Linked DNA regions of Alligator mississippiensis. Each later gene encodes a partner of the first gene's protein in a complex. Links are inferred from orthologs where the notes say so. Each region holds a gene or a part of one and is shown in the gene's direction. Other genes may lie near its edges. The genes, in order: SCAP and INSIG2.

Region 1 (11,539 bases):
CACCTTGTACCCTCAGCTCTGCTTCCCAGCTCTTGGCATGTGAGTCCTCCAAGTTTTGTTTCTGTGCGGAGTTCATGCATCGGTCAGGTTTGTGGTGAGGCCTCCAGTGATCAGTGCTCCAGTGAGGCCCACATATCTCCTGCAGGGCAGGAAGAGCATCTAGGGGGCAGGCGCAGGAGCAGGTCCCCATTGCTTCCCCTCTAGAAATGACAGTTTTGCAGACAGTTCCTGATGTCCAAGGGCCTCCTGGAACACAAGGCTGCTCCCTGCAATGCCGGTTGGGGGAAACTGGCCCTGGGCTGGGATTCTTGGAAAGTTCAGGACTTGATGGAGGGTTTTGAGGCCCATCTTGCTTCTTACCTGTGAGCTGCAGGGAGGCACGCAGTGTTTGAGGGTGATCATTGCAACGAGAAGGGGGCATCCAGGGCACTATGCCAATGAGCTGATCATAGAAAATGAGGGCTGGAAGGGACCTCAGGAGGTCACATCCAGTCCAACCCCCTGCTCCAAGCAGGACCAGCCCCAGCTACATCATCCCAGCTAAGGATGTCTATCCAGGTCTTAAACACCCCCAAGGACAGAGATCCCACCACCTCTCTGTTTAACCCATTCCAGTGCTTCACCACCCTCCTAGAGAGAGAGTTTTTCCTAATATCCAACCTCAACTTCCCTTGCTGCAGCTTGAGCCCATTGCTCCTTGTCCTGTCATCTGCCCCCACTGAGACCAGCCCAGCTCCATCCTCTTTGCACCCCCCTGCAGGGAGGTGAAGGCTGCTATTCAATCCCCCTCGGTCTTCTCCTCTGCAGATTAAATCAGCCCAGTTCCCTCAGCCTCTCCTCACCAGTCCTGTCCCCCAGCCCTTGAACCATTTTCATTGCCCTCCACTGGACTCTCTCCAACTTGTCCACATCCGTTCTGTAGTGGGGGGCCCAGAACAGGACACAAGACTCCAGATGTGGCCTCATCAGTGCAGAATAGAGGGGAAGAATCATTTCCCCCAATCTGCTAGTAACGCTCCTACTAATGCAGCCCAGGATGCTGTTAGCCCCTTTGGCAACAAGGGCACGCTGCTGGCTCATAACTATCTTATTGTCCGCTGTAACCCCCAAGTCCTGATGCCTGGATAGAAATGGGAGATCCTCTCTGCAGCCAAATCTGAGAGGCAGTGAGCACTGGCAGCTCCTCTTCAAAAGGACAGGTGAAAATGGCCTGGAGCCTGGGGCAAGAAGTGACAACACGGGCTTGGCCAGAAGCAGCATCCAGTGGGGAAGCAACAGTGTTTCTAGCATGCTAGTAGTTTTGCAGAAGAGCCTCCACCACTGTGCAGCTTGCTTTTCTATGCTCCGTGTATTGACAGGAGGAACGTCCAGGCTCCCCCAATCTCCATGGCAAAGTGCAATCACGTTCTTGCAACCAACCTGGTTTCATCTAAGTCATCTAAAACAGGCCTGGCTGGATTGTAGCCACAAAGCAACCTCCAGGAGCCTTCTGTTGCGTCTCCACGTCAGGGTTGCCAATTCCAGATTTTTTTTTTGTTTACTGACAACCTGCAAACTTTTTACTGATGACAGAACTTTTTTTACTGACGTGTTTTTACTGACAGATGTCTTGCATAATCCTTCTGCCAGGCCCGGGACAAGGGCCGGGCTCATATTTAGGGGTTAACACCCACCATAATAAAAATTGTTTGCAGATCATTAGTAAAAAAAAATGTCTTGGGTTGGTGACCCTGCTTGACTGCAGCAATGTTTTTACACCCATCCCAAGGTCCCCTATTCACCTCTCACACACTGACACCCTTGACCACACTCCCATCTCACCCCACAGCCTTACCCCGACCGGCCCTGCACCACCTGTCCTAGCACAGACCTCTATCTGCCGCCTTTCCCTTCTCCCAACCCTACAGCTCCATGCTGGCTAAGCAGCTATTAGAGGCAGGCATAAGGGGTGGGGGAATGCAGTGGCAGCACATGGATGGGGAGTAGAGAAGGGGGGAACCACAAAGCCCTGGAAAGTGCTCTCTGCAGGGTGCCATGCTCCCACTCCGATGCTAGGTGGCACTGCTCTGCTCTGTCTGTCCATCAAGCTCACTGATTCTCTGTTTTTTAGAGACAGTTCCCATTATTTTTGTGCATCAAGGGTTTGTTTTTCCCCCTACTGCTTATGGGTTGTCTGTATATTTATGGACAGTTGGCAACCCTGCTCCACATCCAGTCTGCCACCTCACCTAGCTTGCAAGACTGCCTTCTAGGAAAACCTCAGCAGGGAGGAGAATGCCTGTTTGACGTGCATGCGGGCGAAGCGGATCATTTTAGGGATGCCCACACAGAGGTCTGGGAGAGTAATTTGACACCCCCTGCTGAGGGACCTTGTCCACCCTGCAGAAACAGGGAGGCAGCCACAAAAGCGAGGCAAGGGTGTCAGCAAGTTTTAAATACATGAGACATGGTTTAGGGCCAATCATGTCACTAACTTCCCAGGTCAGTTTAAAGCTACCATGTAGAGGGGGGCTGAAGGCATGAGGAGGTCATGACTGTAATTCTTCATATATTGTAGAAGCTTGGCTGCTTGTCCAATTCATAGATTTCATAGACATTAGGGCTGGATGGAACCTCGTAAGATTGAATCCAGCCCCCTCGTCAGATTGAATCCAGCCTGACCAATGGGCAGGAAGTCAGTTAGGAAGTCCGTGATCTCAGAGTACCCAAATCTATCTAAAGTGCTGTTTGCAAAGCAGAACAGTGGGAGAAGAAATTTGAGGCTTGAAGGGGAACGTCTACATCCTGGCAGCAATGTGTCCTTCCTGGAATGGTTCTGGATACCCCCCACCAATCCAGCAATGGTGTTTGGCCTGGGAAAATGTGCAGCAAGGGCCATAGTCCCAGGACCAGACATGGCAACACTGTGCTCCAACTGGGACCTGACAGAGACCACCCCCGCGGGGTATTTAAAACACAGTATTGACAAACTTATAGGAAAACCCCATCCTCTACCTGGGAAAAGTCCCGGTGCAACGAATGTAAACAGGCCACAGCAAGGTTGGGGCTGGGCATCACGTAATGCAGCTGACGCTCCAGTGAAGGGGTTGAAAAACGTGCCCCAAAAGCAGCACTGTGGAGAGAGATGTCATCAGAGCAGGGGTCAGACCTTTTCTAGTCTCTTTGCTGCTGCTGCTGCTTTGTTCTCTGCTCTTTCCCCTGCTCTGTCCCTCCCCACCCCCCCCCAGTGCCACCGCCCCCTGGTTACCTATTCTCAGGTGTCCACTGGACATGGGAATACCTTTTTTATTCCCTGCATGGCTTGTGTAGGGTTTCAGATGCCAGGGTTTTGCTTCTCCCCCACCTGTGGCAGCTGACACCTCTGTGAGATGTTCTGACGTGCTGCTGGCTCAGCTCTGACCCTGCTCTGTCCTCAGGCTGTGAAGAAGCTGAATCTGTGGGCATAGGAAAAGTGCATCTTGCATCTCTCCCTCTGGCATTGTGACAGGTTGCTGGGCAGCTCCATGGTGGGTGCTGTCCCGAACTGAGTCCTGGCAAGTCACAGCAAGCCAGTCACCATGACATGGTTGCTTTCATCCTGTTTCTGCTACAGCAGACATGGCCTACAACAAGCGGCTGCTTGCAGGTGCCGAGTGTGGGCTTGACACACGGAAACATTTCAATTAATTCCCTATTATCACAGCCTGGCTGGAAGCCACAATGGTAACCTCATCCCTTGGCAGGACTGCCCCAGCCTTGGAGGAAAGGTCAGCCTGTGCTTCAGCACAATCTGCCCCGCTTCCACAAATGCCTGGACCTGGGGGAGTAATTCACATACCCAGAGCTAACCTTGGGCACCTGGCTCTCGTAGGCCACACAAGGAGGTTGTTACAGTCATGAATGGAAGTTAATGCCCTGCAGCAATTGATGTGGACAACGTGGTTTTGCAGTGTCCTGCCCTTGCTCAGACTCCCGGGTGCAGCTGCTGCATGTGGGGAACACCTGCAATGTCCCTTGGAGCTGCCCCATGAGGGTTCATCTGGGACATAGGCAGCTGGGCCACTAGGAGCAACCTGGGGGTCAACCAGGTGGGAGCATTCATTACCCAAGTGCCAGGTTGGGGTCTGGGTTGGAAGGTTGGAGAAAGCAGGGACCAAGGTCCAGGAGAGCGAAAAAGGGAGATCCAATAGGCACAGTGCGACGTGAGCTGAGATCCAAAACCAGGGGTCAGAGAGCCAGTACCAAGTTCCAGGGCAGATTCAGGGTCAGGGCCAGGGAAAGCTGAAGCCAAGTCAGGAGCCAGGAGAATCAGATAGCAGCGTCCATGAGGCTTGCAAAACAGACCTGGGGCTGCAGGTGTGCTTGAAAGGGGTGAGTGGTGCCTTCAGCTGCCATTCAGTTGCAGAGAACTGGGGTGGTCGGATTAACCAGGGATCAGGGGCAGGCGAGAAACTCGGGTGCTTGGCCTAGCTGGGCATGCCTGATCAGAGACCCTAACAGACCCTAGCTTCCTCTACCATCAGGGGGAGCAAATGGCTTTGTGCAGCACCTAGCACGACGGGAGTCTGGTGTGCAGGGAGGGTGTCTAGGTGCCAGAGCGAAGCTAGCAGGTATGTGACGTCTGTGTGTGCATTCAGATGATGCCGGTTGCAACAGCGTGTAGCGTTCTTGTCTGTCCCTGCTGCTCCTTGCCTGTCTCTGCTTCTCCCAGCACTTGTTCAGCCTTGCCAGTGTGCCCAGGACTATGTCACCTGCAGGGCCCCTGGCTGCTGTGTCCCTGGAGGCCAGCCTGAGCTATCTTCAACAGCTCAAGTCTAGGCAGTGATAGCACAGGCCTGGCCTCTGACAAAGGAGGGGGTTCCTACGTATTGCACTGACCACACAGTCCCGCAAGCATGGCATGGAGCATGGGCGGTCCAGCAAGTCTGGCTTAGGGCAGCTGATGCCTCTGTGAGATGATCTGCTGTGCTGTTGGCTCAGCTCCCACCCTGCTCTGTCATTGGGCTGCAAAGGCACCGAAACTGCAAGTCTAGGAAGGGCCAGTCTTGCTGCCACCCTGGCTTTAAAAGCACCTCTCCCTCTCCGGCATCGTGACAGCTCGTCGGGCAGCTCCATGTCCTCTCCAGCGGCTGCCGAAGCCCAGCAGCGGGAGCCCAGTTGCCTTGGTGCTGCGCTGCAGGGGTTGATCCAGCCAGCAAAGGTTTGCCTAGAAGCACCATCCCACTGGAGGTCACTGAGAGGAAGCTTCCAAATTGCGTAAATATTGTTAATGTTTCTCCCCCTCCACGCCGATCCTGGCTTTTCTGCAGGAGGTCCAAGTGCTTCCACGAATGGTCAAAGGTACCTGAACCTGTCAGCGAGGGCTCGCTCCCTCCAAGCACCCCGGGACGATTCGTTCACCAGTTGCTTGTCTGGCTTTCACGATCATCCTGGTCCTAGCGGTTGAGTATTATGCTCCTCACCACGGGCACGTCAGCAACGATCCTCAGAGAGACGTGGGCATCTGACCACCCTTTACCCTCATCTGTGAGAGCAGGATGGGTTTTTACAAGGGATTTTTAGCTTATTTTATAAGGAACGGTTTGATGAAACGGCTGCCAGCGCACACGTGGCGATGCCATAATCGTTTCCAGCGTGCCCTTGCTTTACCGACCCCGTCTGGGTGGCCGGATTAACCATCCAGAGGATCGTCCCCCCCACCCCGGAGCTCCCCCTCAGGCACCGCGCAGAAATAACGTCGCGCAGATCGTGGACCGGGACAACGAGGGCTGAAGGGACCTCGGGAGGTCACGTCTCATAGACGTTAGCCTCAACGCACCCGGGCTTGTCCTCAAAACCTCCAAGGATGGAGACTCCTCTGCTGCTCCGGGGAGCCGGTTCCAGTGTATCACCGCCCTCCTCGTGAGAGTTTTTCCTAATATCCAACCTCAACGTCCCTTGCTGCAGCTTGAGCCCATTGCTCCTTGTCCTGTCATCTGCCCCCACTGAGAACAGCCCAGCTCCATCCTCTGTGCAACCCCCTGCAGGGAGCTGAAGGCTGCTATTCAATCCTCCTCAGTCTTCCCTTCTGCAGTCTAAATCAGCCCATTTCCCTCAGCCTCACCTCACCAGTCCTGTCCCCCAGCCCCACCACCATTTTTGTTATCCTCCACTGGACTCTCCAATGTGTCCACATCCTTTCTGTAGTGGGGGGGGGGGGGTCACAGCTGGACACAGCACTCCAGATGTGCCCCCACTCCCCACCCCATATTGCTCCACGCCGTCCCACCCCCGCCGCCATGTTGCCTCGCTCTGGCTGGCGGGCGGGCGGGCGGGGGCGTGGCCACGCGCTGGATGGGCGGGGCCATGCGTGGGCGCGGCGTGACGTCACGGGGTGAGAGGGCAGAGGGCGCAGGGAGCTGCAGCCGCAGCCGGCCGGGAGCCGGAGCGAGGCTGAGCGCGCCAGGAAGGTGGCGCGGCCGGAAGGTGCGGACCCTACTTCCGGCCCCGGGGGGCGGGACCCCCGACCCATTCTCCTCAGGCGGGGCGCCGTTAGCAGCGCGGGTCGTGTCGTGGCCTCCGCGGTGGTGTTGCCCCCCTCCCTCCCCCCCGGTGCCATGGTTAGTAGCGGGGGCGGGGCGGGTGTCATCCCTGCCGTTGGTGCCGGCACTGACTGACTTTACATCAGTTTTACGACTGGTCCCGTTATTGGTGGCACAATGAATACCTTACCTGTATCATTGGTATTGCCGCGTCTTGGGATCATCGCTGTTTATTGGTATCGTTACTTATTAGTAACCATTGCTGTTGTTCCTGATTACTCGGTCAATAAGTATCGTTACTTATTGGTATCGCAATCGATACCTTACTGGCATCGTTGATACCGTTATTTATTGGTGTCCCGAGTGCGATTGGTCCCATTGTTGGTGTCACGTTTAATATCTTACTAGTATCATTGATATATTGCTGTGTATTGTTATTGTTCCTTATTAGTCAGTAAGTATAATAAGGTTTCTCTGGTATACTCTGGTTTCTCTTCAGATCGCATAAATCTTTCACCTTTTTACTAAAGATTTTCGTGGAAGTATAGTAAGGTATCCTTGCTTGGGGGAGTAACGGTAGTTATTGGTATCATAATCAGTATCATACTAGTATCGTTCATACCGTTATTGATTGGTATCGTTACTTATTAATATTGTCACTTGGTATCGCAAGTAATATCTCACTAGCAGGGATCCTGGCTTTCTATGACTTAAAAAAAACAAACAAACACCCCCATTTTTGGTTTAAAACAAAAAGAAAAGTAACCCCAACTCCACGTTGTTCTGTGACTTTAAACGAAACGCCGTCAATATATAGATATACATGTACCTCTGCAGTACATACAGATGCTTGTATATTATATATGTATATCTGTATATTGGCAGCGTTTCATTTAAAGTCACAGAACAACGTGGAGTTGGGGTTACTTTTTTTTAACCAAAAATAGAAAAACAAATCCCCAATCAGAGAAAATAAGCAGATCCCTGCTTATTAGTTGTATTGGTATTGTTGTGGGGTATTAGTACCCATTGATTGGGGGGGGGATATTGGTATCCATTGATGCTGGGGGGGGGGGTCGGTGTTAGTGTCCATTCATGCCTGGCCAGGGGGGGCGGTTAGTGCCCATTGATGCCTGGGGGGAGGCAGGGGTTAATGCCCATTGATGCCTGGGGGGTGGGATATTGGTATCCATTAATGCTGGGGGGGGGGTGGGTATTAGTGCCCATGGCTGCCTTGGGGTGGTGGTGAGGGTGGTGTTAGTACCCATTGATGCCAGGGGTGGGTGGGTATTAGTGCCCATTGTTGCCTGGGGGTGGTGGTATTTGTACCCACTGATGCCCGGGGGAGGCAGGGTGGTATTAGTGCCCTTTGTTTCCTGGTGGGGGAAGGTATTAGTGCCCATTGATGGCGGGGGGGGAGGGGGTATTAATGTTGTTATTTTATTAGTATCAATAGCCTCATTACTTTGTTTGTCATTAGTATCTTTATCTGATGATGGGTATCACTATGATTATTACTGTTATCATCATGCTAATTACCTGACCCTGCTCGTCAGTCAAGCAGAAGCCACTTGGCCCCGGCAGTTTGGGGAGGGGGATTTGTTGCCTCCTTTTTCCAGTTAGGAGATGGCTGGGCCTAGCCAGGGAGGTGGAGAAGTCACTGCCAAGGAGAGGTCTGTGTTAGTCTGGGAGCCGTGTAGGTTTGCACCTTGCAGACCGACAGAAACGAGCTGTATAGCCTGAGCTGTGAGTAGAGGGCTGGTTTCCTCTGATCCAGGTGTGACGGGGCCCCGTGTAGGCGTGTTGGGCCGAGCTTGTCTTGCTCGGGCTCCGGTCGAGCAGGCTGGTGCACCTGAGGGGCTTGTTTTAGATGCTTGGTTGTGGGCTGGGAATCAGGCTCTGCTAGGCAAGAACTGCTCCCTCAGGCATGGTGCGTGCTGCGTCCCAAGCGGCCTTGCCTGGTGAAAGGGTTAAATAGTAACTAAGGAGGGTGGCAGCATTAAACAGCCTGGGGAAAGGGAAGGGAGGACCATTCAGCTAACCTTACCTACCCTGCAGAGACCGAAGCTGCTTAAGACCTGCAGAAGACGGGGATCTCTGTCCCTCCTGTAGCTGGACACTGAGACTATTGGAGGCAAGTGCTAGATGTGGGAAGAGAAGTAGAGAGGGCTGGTTGCTTGTTCACCTCTGTAGAAGAGCCCAAAACATTCAGCTGGGAGAAACTTCTTGTTTGAGGCTTGTGGAAGCATAGGGTGGCCTGAGGGGCTGTAGGGGAGCCATTGCCTGCAGAAGAAGGGAATAAAAATAGGGAACAGAGCATCTGATCATCCCACGGATGAAGGCAGGGGGTAGTGACTGGTGTAGTGTTATGACTCTGAGCTGTTGCTCCTTTTGCAAAAGGAGAGCAGGGGGCAGAGCGTGGGTGCAGAAGACACGGGGAATAAATAGGCACTAAGAGGACGTGTGAGAAGGAGGGGAAGTCCTGTGGATGCTGCTGTGGGCTGATGGACCTGGTGGACCATGTATTTTTTTTTTTTTTTTCATGCTGGTTAGCAGTCTAATCCATGGGGTTGTGAATCCAGCAAACGTTCCAGCTCTGAAAGAGCAGGTGGCGGCTTCTGAAATCAGTGGGGAGGGAGCTGGACTTCTCTGTCCGTTACAAGGGGGAGAAGTTGTGCATTTGGGACTTGGAGCATGGAGAGAAGGAGCTGTTGTGTCCAATGCCTTTTGCCAAAAATCTCTGGATGCAGCTTCCAGTTTTCTGACGGTTCGTAAAATACAAACAAGCTCCTCTTTTGTACCTTGCTTTTGTTTGTCCTGGGATCCCAGTGCTTGAAATTAGTGTATTGCCACAGACATTTTAATTAATGTCATAAGATTAGGATTACAGGAGCTGTGGTGTTTCAGCAAATGGATCAGTTGGTTTATTCCTTTCTTTAAAAAAAAAAAAAGAAAAAAGTGGCTTAGGGTTGGTGGGGGAGTTTTTCTGGTTTTTTTTAATTCTGCACGTATAAACTGCTGGTTGTTGTGCTGCTGTTGGCCTCTCATTCATCCCATGACTGAGAGGAATCACCTGAATGGCTGATTCTAGCTCTGATCTGAATGTTTGAATTTCAGCATCATATGTTTACATTATGAAATCTAGCTTGAATAATTTGATCCACTAAAAGCTATAGAAGAGCAGAACAGAGTCAGTTTTCTGTTTCAGGATTGCATAAACAGCCTCCTACTACTTGAAACCAAGGTGTATGAAATTTGTCAAATGAAGTTGGTATTGAGGATAGCTGTTGGGAGAATTATTTAAATCATATGTGGATATGTCCAGTAAGAATCTCATCACAGACATGGAAGTAAATCATTCAACCGGGGGGTTGGAAAGAATGACTGCTCTTCAGACTGGAAGAGATGAAGCTTGGCTGAGCAACTAAGGGGGGCTGTAGCTGAGGACAAATAACTAAAGTGGACAAGCTAAAGAAGAAGGAAGTGGCTGTGGTGCAGAGATGTTACCGAATGTGTGGAGGTCAGGATTTGTTTGGCTTATTCCTGATCGCTGCTAGCTTGCTGTGTCTCTTGGAAGAAAGCTGCTTAAACTCTGGCTGTCCATGCCGGTCTGTAGGGTAGGATGATTTTCACTTTATAAAATGGCTTTTTTGGTGCTTTGGTAATACAAATAACATAGGAGCCCCAGTCCTGGATCATGGCTCTTCTGTGCTTGGAGCAGTATAAATGCACCATAAAAAAACCAGAAACCCAGTGCCAGCAGCAAAGAGCTTGTAATCAAAGGGGAAGACCAGAAAGATCAGATGGGTGCAGCCAGGTGGGAGGAATACTAAGAGACTGGATTAGTCAGCATCATCGACATTGGTTTTAGCACATCAGCAGCCCTGATGTTGGTGTTTTTGTTGGCATCCTGATGGAGGGAGTTGAACTTTACAAATGATTAAGTGCTCTTGACATGCAAAGTGCTTATGCTATAAAGGGATACAGCCTGGAAGAACAGCAAATCCTATGAATCCAGGAAAGCTCGGGCTGCATGTTAAGTTCTTTATAGTGAACTTCTTGCCTCTTCGGCTTGTGGCCTGTGATCATTTTACTCTTTGTTTCCCCATTTCAGTGTCCTGCATCTTTCACTGGCAAACACATTCAGGCTGCTCCTCTGTCTTCAAGGCACTGCCCCCCCAAATTGTCCCACCAGTCTTCTCATTGGACCCAGACTCTAACTGGATGCCCTTTCCCTCCTCCTTAAAGGCAGAGATGAGAAGCTTTTTATTCCATGTGTTGTAGGGTTTGTGGGGGGAAGGCTGCAGGAGTTCTGCAATAGTGCATCTCTGTGGCTCATAGTTTGCAGAAGCCGTTGGCGTTCAGAATCAGTGGTGGTTCCTCATCTGAGGAGTCCGACTCTAAAATAGATAGATGGTGGTAGAAGATGACTTCTTCCAGTGAATCTTTTGACCTGTACCCTGAGGCTAGGACACCTGTTCCAGTTTCACAGCTTGTGCCCATTTCTTTCCTGTATAATTGGAGTCTCTTGAAAAGGGGCCACAAGGCTGCAAGATGCCTGCTTCTGGGACTTCATCTGGAGGGAGAGAGCAGTGTGGGAATGTGGGGAGGGGAGTTGCATTTCTTTGACTACGTTGAATTAGTCTTGCATGGACCATTGTGATAAAGATGCCATAGGAATAATAGTTGGTTTGTTCTCAGTAGCAACATCCTCAAAGTCCGATTTGTTTAGTAAGAAAGTAGCTTTAGGATTTGTTTCTCTAATGCAAGGAGAAACGTGGTAGTGCTTTGCTGCTCCCGGAAATCAAATGTCTCGTTGGTGAGTCTTTCTGATATCACTGGACTCTGTGGAATTAAAATATATAGGATTTTATCCAGCGAGCTGCTGACTCAGCTGCTGCTAAGTGCTATGCATATTCAGGCCTGCAAAAATGGTATTTTTGTAATCTAGAGCCTGTTAGAAAGTAATCTATGGCTGCTGTGAGTCATCTCACAGGTGCCGCCTGCATTTCAGAAGTGGATGAAATAACTCTCTCCGC
Region 2 (11,092 bases), on another chromosome or scaffold:
TAGGACTGATTCAACGAAACCTGATATTTCTTCAGTTAGGGTCCCATGGTTGGATATGATAGGTCTGCCGGGGTTCCCTTGTTTGTGGATTTTAGGGAGCATGTAAAAATTCCCCAGGTTAGGTAGTGGGGGGATCAAGGTCTGTAGTTTTTTCTTGTAATCCTGTTGGAAATGATTTGATGGTATTGGTATTACAGGACTACAATGGTATAACAGGACTACAAGAAAAACTTGTAGTATGGTATAACAGGACTATGACGCATTATAACCTGCCTGACAGCTGACTTCCCAGGTACTTCTCCACTCTTCAGCCCCCTTCTCTCCCCCACCCCCACCCCCACCCAGCCTGTCTCTCACCCATTGATTCCTCAATCTAAATCTTCACTGACTGCCTGTCTTGTATGCAGACCAGCCCAGCCTCTAGCTTCTTTACTTTTCATTCCACCCAGGAAGAGCACACACCAACTGCTAACACTTCCTTAGCCTGACGAAGGGTTATTGAACCCAAAAACTTGCTTAAATATTATTCTCCAATTATTTAGCTGGTCTAATAAAAGATATCAGATTCACCCAAAGAACCTTGTCTGATAACAGTAGACGCATTTCTGGTGCTGCATCTAATCTGTTCCAATACTTGTTCTTTGTAGCACTGTGTCTTGAGAAGCCAGTCTCACTCATATAGGTCATGGCAAAGGGCATGAGATGTTTCACAGCTTGATTTGCAATTTCAGTATACTGATCGGTAAGGAATGCTAATTTTTGTATCCAAAAAATGTCATGAATTCTGGACAAGATATCAAATGATGGTCAGAAAAAAAGGTGCATCTCTTTTGACAATACATAAATGTGAAGAAGCACTATTCCATGGGATAGCCCTCAAACCTCAGTGTGTAGCAAAAGACTCATGTGAACACTGCCCATGACACAAAACAGAAAATATCTGGGAGTGAAGAGGCCTGGCTTTAATATAATTTTTCACTGTCCCATCAAGCACAATTTTAAGCTCTCTTGGCATACCCTTTCTAGCAAGAGCAAGTCCATGTAGACTACAATGTCTGCTTTCCATGAGAGGCAACATTTTTAATGCACGCTACCCACACCCTTGACTTTTTCCATCATGACTTTTGCACTGTTGATACAAACATCTGTACGAAGTTCCCAGTTAATCATATTCTTTTGCATAAAACAATTAAGGATATTGAATATAGCCTTGCCTTTTGTACTTGTTTTAAGCAGGCAGCACAACAGCAGGTCCGCATGTAGAAGATTAAAAAGTATAGCACACGATTATGAGCAAGATAGCCAATCCTTCTTCTTTGGTAGATTCATCTAGTTGAATAAAAAACCCAACAGGACTATTTTTTATACAACTACCTCTGCTTGCCAGTGATCAGAAAGATCTTTGATGTGGTGAGAAACTGTATGGTCTGCATGAGGAATAATAGCAATGAGCTTTCTTAATTTTTTCACCCATTGTGCAAGTTAAAATTCCTTTTGTTCATGGCTTCCCTAAATTTTCAGCAATCATATGCACATCATCCACCTTAGCAATTAAAGAACTCACTTACAGGCTTGACAGTACTGTGCTTGCCAGCACCACAACTGAAAGAGATCTGGGGGTCATAATAGACCACAGAATGAACATGAGCCACCAGTACAATGCCATAGCTGGCAGAACTAATCAAACACAGGCGTGCATCTACTGATGCATCTGAAACAAGACTAAGGATGTCATCCTCCCGCTCTACTCAGCTTTGGTGAAACGGCAGCTGAAGTTCTGCATCCAATTTTGGGTGCCGCACTTCAGGAAGGATGTGGAGAAGCTTGAAAGAGTCCAAAGAAGGGCCACGCGCATGATTAGAGGTCTGGAGAGCAGGTCATATGAAGAGAAGCTGAAAGACATGGGACTGCTAAGCCTGGAGAAAAGAAGACTTAGAGAGGACGTGGTGGCAGCCTGTAAGTATATAAGGGGCATACAGCAGGGTCTGGGGAAGCATCTGTTCACCAAGGCACCCCAAGGGAAGACAAGAAACAATGAACACAAACTGATTGAGGATTGCTTCAGATTGGAGATAAGTAAAAAATTCTTTATGACCAGAGTGCCATGGGTCAGGAACAAACTCCCTCCAGAGGTGGTACAGACACCTACCCTGGAGATCTCTAAAAACGTGTGGACGCACACCTTGCTGGGGTCATCTGACCCCAGTTGTCGTCTTCCCTGCCCTAGTGCAGGGGGGCTGGACCTGATGATCTCGTGAGGTCCCTTCCAGCCCCTAACATCTATGAATTTATGAATCCTTCAAGAGCATTTCTGTTGTCTTAACAACAAAATAACATTAGGTAGTGATTTTTTAATAAAATTGTTACATTTCCTTTTAAAATAATCACCATGCATGTCTTTAACTTGTGGGTGTTTTGCCTCCAGAAGCTTTTGTAACTTTGCTGGATTCAGGCTGCTGTCAGGCAAAACTTGTCCACACTCAACACACTGTCCATCTGTCTTGTTTTTATCACCAGTCCAAGTAAAACCATAGTTAATGTAGCTTGCATGGTACTTATGTTTTGGTTTTTGATTCATTGCTCACTGGATAAAGAGCTTGTGACTGATTTGATATGCTGGCACATATAACAATAGAAGCACTGGTAATTACTTCCTGTTGTATTGAAATCTGGCATTTTTCCTGACTACTTTTCTTAACGTTGCCTGTTTTCAGTCACCAATCCATACTTTTTCTTGGTAAATCAAAAATATAAAATATTAAGAGACAGTTCAACACTGCTCTGACATCAAGGCACTTGTCAACTGACTGATTGAAATACGACGACGCAGAGACAGAATAATCACATTGGAACACCAGGCCTACATTGCTGCCAGATTTCGATCATGTACCTCTGTTTGTAAACTGTCCATCAAAACAAGGCGGGCAAATCTCATATCGTATTATTGTCCTATGAATAAAACATATGGCATGGATCGTCTCAGCAGAAAGGGTTAGAAAGACTGAGTTAATGTTTTTTTATCAATAAGTCACCATTGGCGGTGCGTAGAAGGTGCATGAGGGTACACGTGCACCCCCCTGAGATTGGCTGCTGCTGATGGCGTCTGCGGGGTAGCCACTCACCATCCAGCCCCCACTGCCGACGCTGCCGGCGGCGTCTGCGGGTGGTCACCAATAGCCACCCCCCCACCTCACCGCCGCGGCCACCTGCCAGGGTCCCCATTCAGCCTGCCGTCACTGCTGACATCACTGTGGCTGCCTGCAGGAGGTCCCCACTCGCCACCGCCGCTGACACCGCCACCTGTGGGCGATCACCGTGCCTCCCCCAGCCTCAGGAGGCACGAGGTGGTCATGTAAGTGAAACACAAGAGTCAAATTGCAAAATTTCAAAAAATAATTAACAATAAGTATATTTTACAAACTTGTCTGCTATTACCAATTTTTTTCCATGGAGCCCCCAAGACCTCCTCCTGGAACCCCAGGTAGAACACAATTTGAAAACCACTGATCGAAAACACTGGCCTCTCTCTTGCATCTAATCTCATTTGAGTCAATGCAACTGGGTTTAAGAGAAATCACTGGTGCTGCAGTGGATGTAAAGAGCTTGTGTGTGTGCATGTGTGTGTGTGTTTAGCTATTCACATGATCAGGGCATTTAGTGCTTATGTTATGATTTATTTGCACTTTTATTACAGCAGTTCTTCAGGATCATTTCTTTGCTGCTTTATGTTTTAGTGTTATTCATTCTTTACATAATCATTTCTCTTCTCACCCGTGTTGTTACTTCATGGTGGTTTCCTCATTCCCGTAGTTCTCAAACTTTTTAGACTCAAGGTATCTCTCATTCTGCTCTAGGCAGCCCTCAGAAAACACCAGCTCTTACTTTTTACCCAAGTTTTTGACTATGGAAAAATAACAGAATAATTGTTTTGTGGCAAAGAACTCAGAAAGCCCACAGCAAGTCAGAATCTTTTCAACACTATGGATGCCTATTTGAAATCTCTGGGTTTATCGTGTGAATCACATCTGCACACCTAAGGGTGCTAACGTTGCATGGCACCCCACAGCACCCTTGAAAAGATCCAGGAGCAGATTACAGGGAGGCGCAATGGCAGTCACTCCCCACCCTCCTTTAATTCCTGGTCTACCCAAAGTTTAAAATCAACTGCCTGGCAGAGGCTGCAGCATCTCTATTCAGGCAGCAGTGAAGGCATCACTTATCTTCATGCCTCATTATAATCTACCTGATTCCTTCTAAACTTTTCATACCACAGGTGTTAAACAACTTCCTTTCCTTTGTAATGGCCCTTATGATCAAATAATTGAACTATCTTCCTTTTGCAATTCCACTACCTACTAGCTGCTCCTGGTAATGTAGTTCCTATTTCAGAGGCCTGCTGACTGTCTTTAGCTAAAAACATTAACTTAGGCATGAAAATACATTTCAGTGAAGTATTGGTTGCACTGTCATGATGTTCAAGAAGACTAGATTTTGTTTTAGGAAGCTGAAAGAGATCTGTACATATATTTCTAGTGACTACAGGACTAACGAAACACACTCGATCTCTTTCTTTTTTGCCTAGTTTGTTGTGATGTTTTTACGTGATCAGAGCCGTCCCTTGGGGGGGGGGGTGCAAATCAGGACCACCGCCCCGGACCCCATACTTTGGGGGGCCCTGCAGATAGTGCCATTGGCATGTGCTGAGGGCACCATCACGCTGCTCCGGCCACCCCCCCACCCCTGCTCCAGCCGCTCCCAACTCCCTCTCCCCACCGCTCGCCAACCCCTCCACCGCCATGTCCCCCCGCACAGGCTGATATGCCCTGGGCCCTGCACACGCCTAAGATTGGCTCTGTACACGATATACAACACAGCGAATTCATACGCGTCCCAATACGCATGTATTTGTTTTTGCTTTGATCTTCAGCTGAATAATATAGCTCTAGGCCTCTTGTAAAGCTTCTAGTTTTTATGTACCTTAAAAAAAGCGCGTGCTGCGTTCACAGCCAGATCTAGACTTTGAAAAGGTGGGGTGCCCAGGGTGAGGTGCATCGTCACCTGTTAAACAAAACACATTTTTCCTGAAGTTAAAAAAGAAACTAGCTTTTCCAATACACTGGGAACCTAGGGCTGTATGATTCAGTTTCAGGTTAGAGCAGAAACAAATGCAAGGAATTGAAAATAGCCCGCAGGGCTGTGAAATAGGAGCTTCATTACCAGGAGCAGCAAAAACAGGGCAGAGCGGCGGAGGAAAGGCTGGCTTGACCGGGGCAGGCAAGGGTCTTTGGGTAACGTGCATATAGAAAGAGACTCAAAGACCCTTGCCTGCCGATGTCCTTGGGCCAACCAAAAACCTAGCTTGCTGGGTGCGTTCAAAGACAGTTCAAAAGAAGAGAGGGTCCTTAACCCCAGAGGATGAAGACCTCAGATTCAATGAGCCATGATGTCAGGCGACTCCTCAGCGCCGCCCCACCACAAACACTGCTGCCAGGCAGTGGGGGGTTTAAACTTTGGCTGCAGCAGGCACCAAAAGGGAGACCTGACTTTATTTCTGGCTCATTGTCAGGGACCAGATTCCTTCTCCCCCCGGCTGCACTACATGTACTAATGTCCTGCAGCGCCTGCACCCCTTCCTCACACCCCTGGGAGGCCCTGCAGGAGAAGCACCGTGTGAACAAGGCTTCACCCTCTTGCAGGGGGGGACAAAAGCATCCCTCCTTTCCTGCATTTTCAAAAAACCTCAGATCTACCCAAAAAAACTGCCCTGTGCACCACTCCCCCGAAGCAGCTGCTCCCCCCCTCCCCCTCCCCCTTCTCCTTCTCCTTCTCCTTCTCCTTCTCCTTCTCCTTCCAATCCGCCCCTCCCACGTGCACCACTCGACTGCAGCGGAAGCGCAGCTGCCCCGACCTCCCCAGCTCCCCTCTGCCGGCCGGAAGTCCCTCCGCCCCGACTTCCCTCCCTCCCTCTTCCCAGGCAACCGGCCGGAAGTCCCTCCGCCCCGAATCCCCCTCCCTCCGGCCGGCCGGAAGTCCCTCCGCCCCGAGTCAGTTGCAGCGGGTTGAGGCGGGGGAGGGAGAAGATGGCGGAGCAGGGTGAGCGGCGGCGGCGCGGGGGCTTTGGGGGGTGGGGGATGATGCTGAGCGTGGACGGCATCGCCTGTCCGCCGGGGGGAGGCGCCCGGGCCTTGGACACGGTGTCAGGGGCGAGGCTGGGGCAGCCCTTGGCTGAGGGGCCTCCAGCTGGTGGGGGGTCTCAGGCCTGTCCCAGCTCTGGGGAGAAGCCCCCTGCGATGTGGGGCCCTGAGGTGGCCTCGCTGGGGCCCATTCTGCTCCCTCGGCTTTTGAGGGTCCCCCCCGGCCTCGCCTCCTCGCTTGAGGGACACCATCAATTTGGGGAGTCATTCGCGTGGGAGCTGGCGCCAAGTTACCCTCCTTTTGGCAGATGTCAAGCCCCCGCACCGCTCGGCCGTCCCGTGCCACTCGTGCTGGAGGTTGCCCACCCCTGTGCCAAGCGATTGGAGGTGCTCGTGAGGGTGGATGCCGTGACGCGCGGTGTTTGTAAGCCATCCATGGTGGCAGTTAAGTTAATTTGCGCGGCGTGGAGCATCTTGCCTGGTCACGTGTGCATGCCCTCGTGCAAAAGTTTGCGTTGAAGTAGCACGTCGCGGAAAGGATGAAGTGTGGCGAAAGCTGTCTCCTCACAGGCGTTGTCTCTGTCGCTTTCTGCTAGCGCCGTGGCGACGCGTCGGGGGTGCACGTGCACCCTGACTGGCCACGCTCCCCGCTTAGGTGATGGGGAGGGGGGCCTGCAGGGAGATTGGCCCCGGGGGGGACAGCCCCCAGTTGGTGACTGGTCCCTAGGGGGGGCACGTGCCCCCCCCCCCCACCCCTGACTAAGGTGGCTTTGAATTTCCATTTTCAAAAGAAGAAAGCTCAACGGTTCAACCATATTGTAGGTTCAGCATTCAACCTGTGATAGCCCAGTTTAGACAGGAATAGAAATTTGGGATGAAATGTAACAAGACTTCAATTATCCTGTGTGTGTGATACCTTCATACTTCCTATTCCCAAAGATGTTGTTCATAATTGACTCAAAAGATCTTGATCATGTCTCTCTTATTAGAGGAGGCTAAGTGATAATGCAGTCTGTATACATCGGACCTATGTGAGGATCGTGGTGCAAACCCTGAAAGGTACCGAGTTGGTTGTTAACTCTTCTTTACAGGTGGAGGAGCTGAGGAGCAGAAGTAAGGTGACTCACTATGAAGTGCTACAAAAAGTCAGCGTAGGATTAGAATTAATGAATCTCGGGGGCGTATTCTCCTGCTTAAACAATACACTGTGGTAGTAGCTCAAGAAAAGATGCTGGCTTTTACAAGCACATTCACAATGTGTATTGCTGCATTTGCACTAGAAATTTCATTAATCAGAGCAGTTAGATAAAATTATTTGAGCTTGGTATAGAGCAGAGGTTCTCAACCTGTGGTCTGTGGACCACCGCTGGTCCGTGAGCTCCATTCGGGTGGTCTGCAGAAAGGTTGTGGAACAATTGAGAATATCTGTACTTGGCCCTGCACTTGATTTATTTTTTCTGACGACAGAGATTAAGTCGTCCGCTGATAGCCTCAGCACTTTTCAAGTGGTCTGTGAAAAGAAAAGTTTGAGAACCACTGGTTTAGAGTTTGCTTTGTTAGTAGCATGATTACAGGTGAATTATAGCTGTCAAGTAACTATAACTACAAACTGCTATCCCTTTCATCTCATGCTTTCTGTTGTACTCTTTAAGTTGTGTAGCAATGTCACAGTCTGATTTGGAGGTCCCACAGCTGTTTTGAGGTTGAGTGACTTATTCCACTAATCTAATTTGACACAGGTCACTTGCCACTCTCCCTGTCTTTCATTTTACTTGATTCTCAATTTCCCTGTCTTGTTCTTCTGTCTCCCCCTCTTTGAGGGCAAGCATGATGTGAAATTACAATGGCAGCAATGAAGATAAACTTCCACTTTCTTATTTAAAGGAAAAAGTCTCTTAATGCAATGAAGTGCTGATGCAGTGCTGTTGAAACCAAAAATGTAAGACAGGTTTATTATCTTTCATATCATGCCAGTGATACATAATTAATTAAGAGGATAGCACAGTATCAACAGCAGAGACATGAGTCCTAGGTTAGGGCTGGGCTTTGCTAAGTGAGCTGTCTGACCAGAAAATCCAGGTAAAGTATAAGAGAAAATATCTACGAGAAGCTTATTTTCTATAAACTAGAATATGCCTTGTCTGATTCTCATTCAGTTAACAAGTCACATTAGCAATGAGATCTGTTAATATTCTGATCTGGTTATGTTTTAAACTCATTTAGCACTGTTGGAAATAACACAAAAATTAGGGTGACAACAAATCTCAAGCACTCCTAATAATAGTAACATTGAAAGATGTTCTAAAGAACTGCCACATGAAGTTGGCACATGAACTGCCACATGAAATTGCATGTCCAGTACCAGGTATTTTTAATACATCTTTACAGTTGAAGTAATACAGCAACTGTAGCATGGCAAATATGGTAACTGTTAAGAGAAGAAAGTTATTTTGGATGGTACCTATTGTTAAGAGCAGAGACTTATTTTGGAACTACTGGTCCATTGGCTCAACCTTAATTATATGCTAGGCTTCTGAGCAAATTGTGATTGGAAAAAAATAACTAAAGACTTGGGGATCACATCTGGGCACCCTCCAGCCTGAGTAGCCAGGTACCCATTTACAGCTGGGGACAGTCTTTGGTGAGTCTCAAACTCACATCTCTAGAGCTGTAGCAAAATGCTAAAATTGCTCAGAAACTGTTTCCCTCTGCTAGAGATAAGAAAGCATAAGTGGTGTAAGACAGGGCAATTCATGTGAAATACTGTGTTAAATACCAATTACCTGTGGGCAGGAAAGATGAACACTCACTCAACTGCATTCAGAAAAGTCTTCTAGCATGGTCAGTAGAGAACATTGAGCTTGTTTCTGAGTGGAGACTAAAAGACCTTTGCTGTTTTAGCCTACAAAAATAGGGATGAGAGAGGTATTACTGTGGTCTATAAATAGGGACCTACCAAATTGTGTGATTTTTGTGGAAGCTGTGAAATTGAGTAGGGTCCACAAAACATAGTGGGCTCTGCAATTTTGGTTGCCTCATTGCCATCCTCCCTGTCCCAAACTTACCGATAAGCAGAGAAAAGGGTGGGAAGCCCCACAGTCTTGGAGCATGAGGGTGGAGGGGCAAGAGTGGAGGTAGCAGGGAGGGGAGGAAGGGCACAGCTGCTCACAGCAAGAGGTGAGGATGCTGCACAAACAGCTGCACCAGGATCCCAGGTCAGCTATGGCAGGCAGCCAGGAGACTGCATTGTGGTCCACAGAGCCCTGGCCTAGGTTGTTGTGCAGGGCTCTACTGACCCCAGTGCAGCCCCACAGCTGCCTGCCAGAGCCAGTCCAGGACCCTGGTGCAGCCCCTTGGCAGCATCCACCCTTGGGGGTGGCCCAAAACCGCAGTTTAATAACTCTGTTTAAGCCTGGGGAAACCATTAATCCACATGTAATAATATGTGAATGAATGGCTTCCTCGAGCTTTATTAGGGTAATTAAGATGCAGTTTTGGGCTATCTGGCAATCTGTGGGGAGGGGCAGGACTGCTGGGGCCCCTTGGCCAATCAGAGGTGTGTGGCAGGACACTTGGTGTGCCTGCCACTTTAAGAGGTGAGGTAGTCTGCTGAGACACTTGCAGGTGGGGTCACCTCTAATTATAAATCAGCTGACCCAGGGACTGGCAGGTGTGGCTAGGCCTAAGCCACAGGTTCACCTGCTTGCAAGGGAGATCCCTGATTGGAAGAGGGCTGGGCTTAGACTGGGTATAGGCCCAGAGCCTGGAGGCAGGGTTGGGAATAACATCTTGGGAGTTGGTGAAGGAACATCACCCAGCAGGAAGGTTGCAGCTCCTGAATTCTAGCTGGGTGAGTGTAGTGAGCATGGGGGCCTATTGAGAGGCCTGGATGAGCCCAGAGAAGGAAAGGGGCTGCGAAGAGGGACCTGTTGAGGGCTCCGGGTGAGCTCAGAGAGAGAGCAAATGATCTATGGAGGAGAGAGGGCTGGCAGCTGCAGGACTGACCCTGGGAACCTTGACTGGTCCAAGCTGGGGCCAGGGCCCAGGAAGGGCTGACGGGTGAAATAGCCCACTGCAAGAGACTACAAGAACTGGAAGATTGGAGTCTTGACTGGCCTGGAGGCAGGGCCAGGGCCTAGGAGAGGCTAGAAAGTCCCTGTGGGGGGTAGGGGGCAGGAGGGGCACAGCCAAGAGGGAGGGGTCAAGCAGCAGGTAGCCCAGGATGATGATGGATGGTGCTAGGTTATCTGAAAAGGAGGGATCATTGAGAACATGGGTCCAAGAATGAGCTGGGACCAGAGATAGAGCCAGGGCCAGGGGACCTGGTAGTTCACAGCCCAGGAGAGGGTAGGACATCAAGGGGAAGCTCAGAGAAGGATAAGCAAGATCAAATAGGCCTGAAGACCTGTCCTGGGTAAGATCTGAAACTACACCTTACTGGAGCTGGTTAGTGTGGTGAGGCTACCTGTGGTGGGGCAGCCCTCTTGAAATGCCACACATGAGCCACTCCAAGGCAAGGTGAGGAGGGGGCACAGGAAAGCCTCAACTCCCACTGCCTTGTGGGTTACCCCATGGAGGGAGAAGGCTTGGGGAGCATACCCTGACAGAAATGCACTTGGCAATGAAGACCATGTGGACCCTGGGGGGCAGGGAGGGTCCAGAGGCCTAGCAAGAGGGTCTGGTGGATCACAGTGAGGCCCAGTGAGTATGGTGAGACCAGAGGAGCCTGGTGTCCCAGTGGGGGCCGGGAATGGAGTGTAGGACCAGATGGTTCCCAGGGCCTGGATAGTGAGGCCCAGTGAGGGGCCTGAGGCACATAGTGGGATCCAGGAAGCAGACTGGGACCAGAAGGGTTCAGCAGTCCAGCAAGAGGCTGGGAATGGAGTGCAGGACCAGACAGGTCCAAGGGCCTTGATAGTGAGGTCCAGCGAGAGGGGCCTGAGTCTCATAGCGAGGCC

What was found.
Region 2: the proteins of SCAP (region 1) and INSIG2 are in contact, whole or in part, in a cryo-EM structure (PDB 7ETW), measured with the Homo sapiens proteins. The link is inferred for Alligator mississippiensis from reciprocal best matches to the Homo sapiens genes SCAP and INSIG2. Residues at the interface, in NP_036367.2 of Homo sapiens: Pro200, Ser206, Val282, Ala283, Glu284, Ile286, Pro287, Thr290, Ile294, Ala297, Tyr298, Phe301, Lys305, Tyr351, Val354, Val355, Glu359, Thr409, Leu410, Val411, Ser638, Tyr639; in NP_001308258.1 of Homo sapiens: Phe41, Val45, Leu48, Leu49, Ile51, Val55, Leu57, Phe58, Pro59, Val62, Ser65, Ile66, Glu104, Trp105, Ser106, Met109, Arg110, Val112, Ala113, Val114, Val116, Gly117, His120, Gln132.

Annotation. Positions count from the first base shown.
Region 1 is NC_081828.1:217,456,927-217,468,465, reverse strand, and holds the start of SCAP (sterol regulatory element-binding protein cleavage-activating protein), read left to right. Parts: upstream 1-6,344; 5' UTR 6,345-6,444; intron 6,445-6,476; exon of another isoform or gene 6,477-6,578; intron 6,579-9,056; exon of another isoform or gene 9,057-9,267; intron 9,268-11,539. UniProt on the Homo sapiens protein: Escort protein required for cholesterol as well as lipid homeostasis.
Region 2 is NC_081827.1:242,411,151-242,422,242, forward strand, and holds the start of INSIG2 (insulin-induced gene 2 protein), read left to right. Parts: upstream 1-6,004; 5' UTR 6,005-6,093; intron 6,094-6,448; exon of another isoform or gene 6,449-6,521; intron 6,522-11,092. UniProt on the Homo sapiens protein: Oxysterol-binding protein that mediates feedback control of cholesterol synthesis by controlling both endoplasmic reticulum to Golgi transport of SCAP and degradation of HMGCR.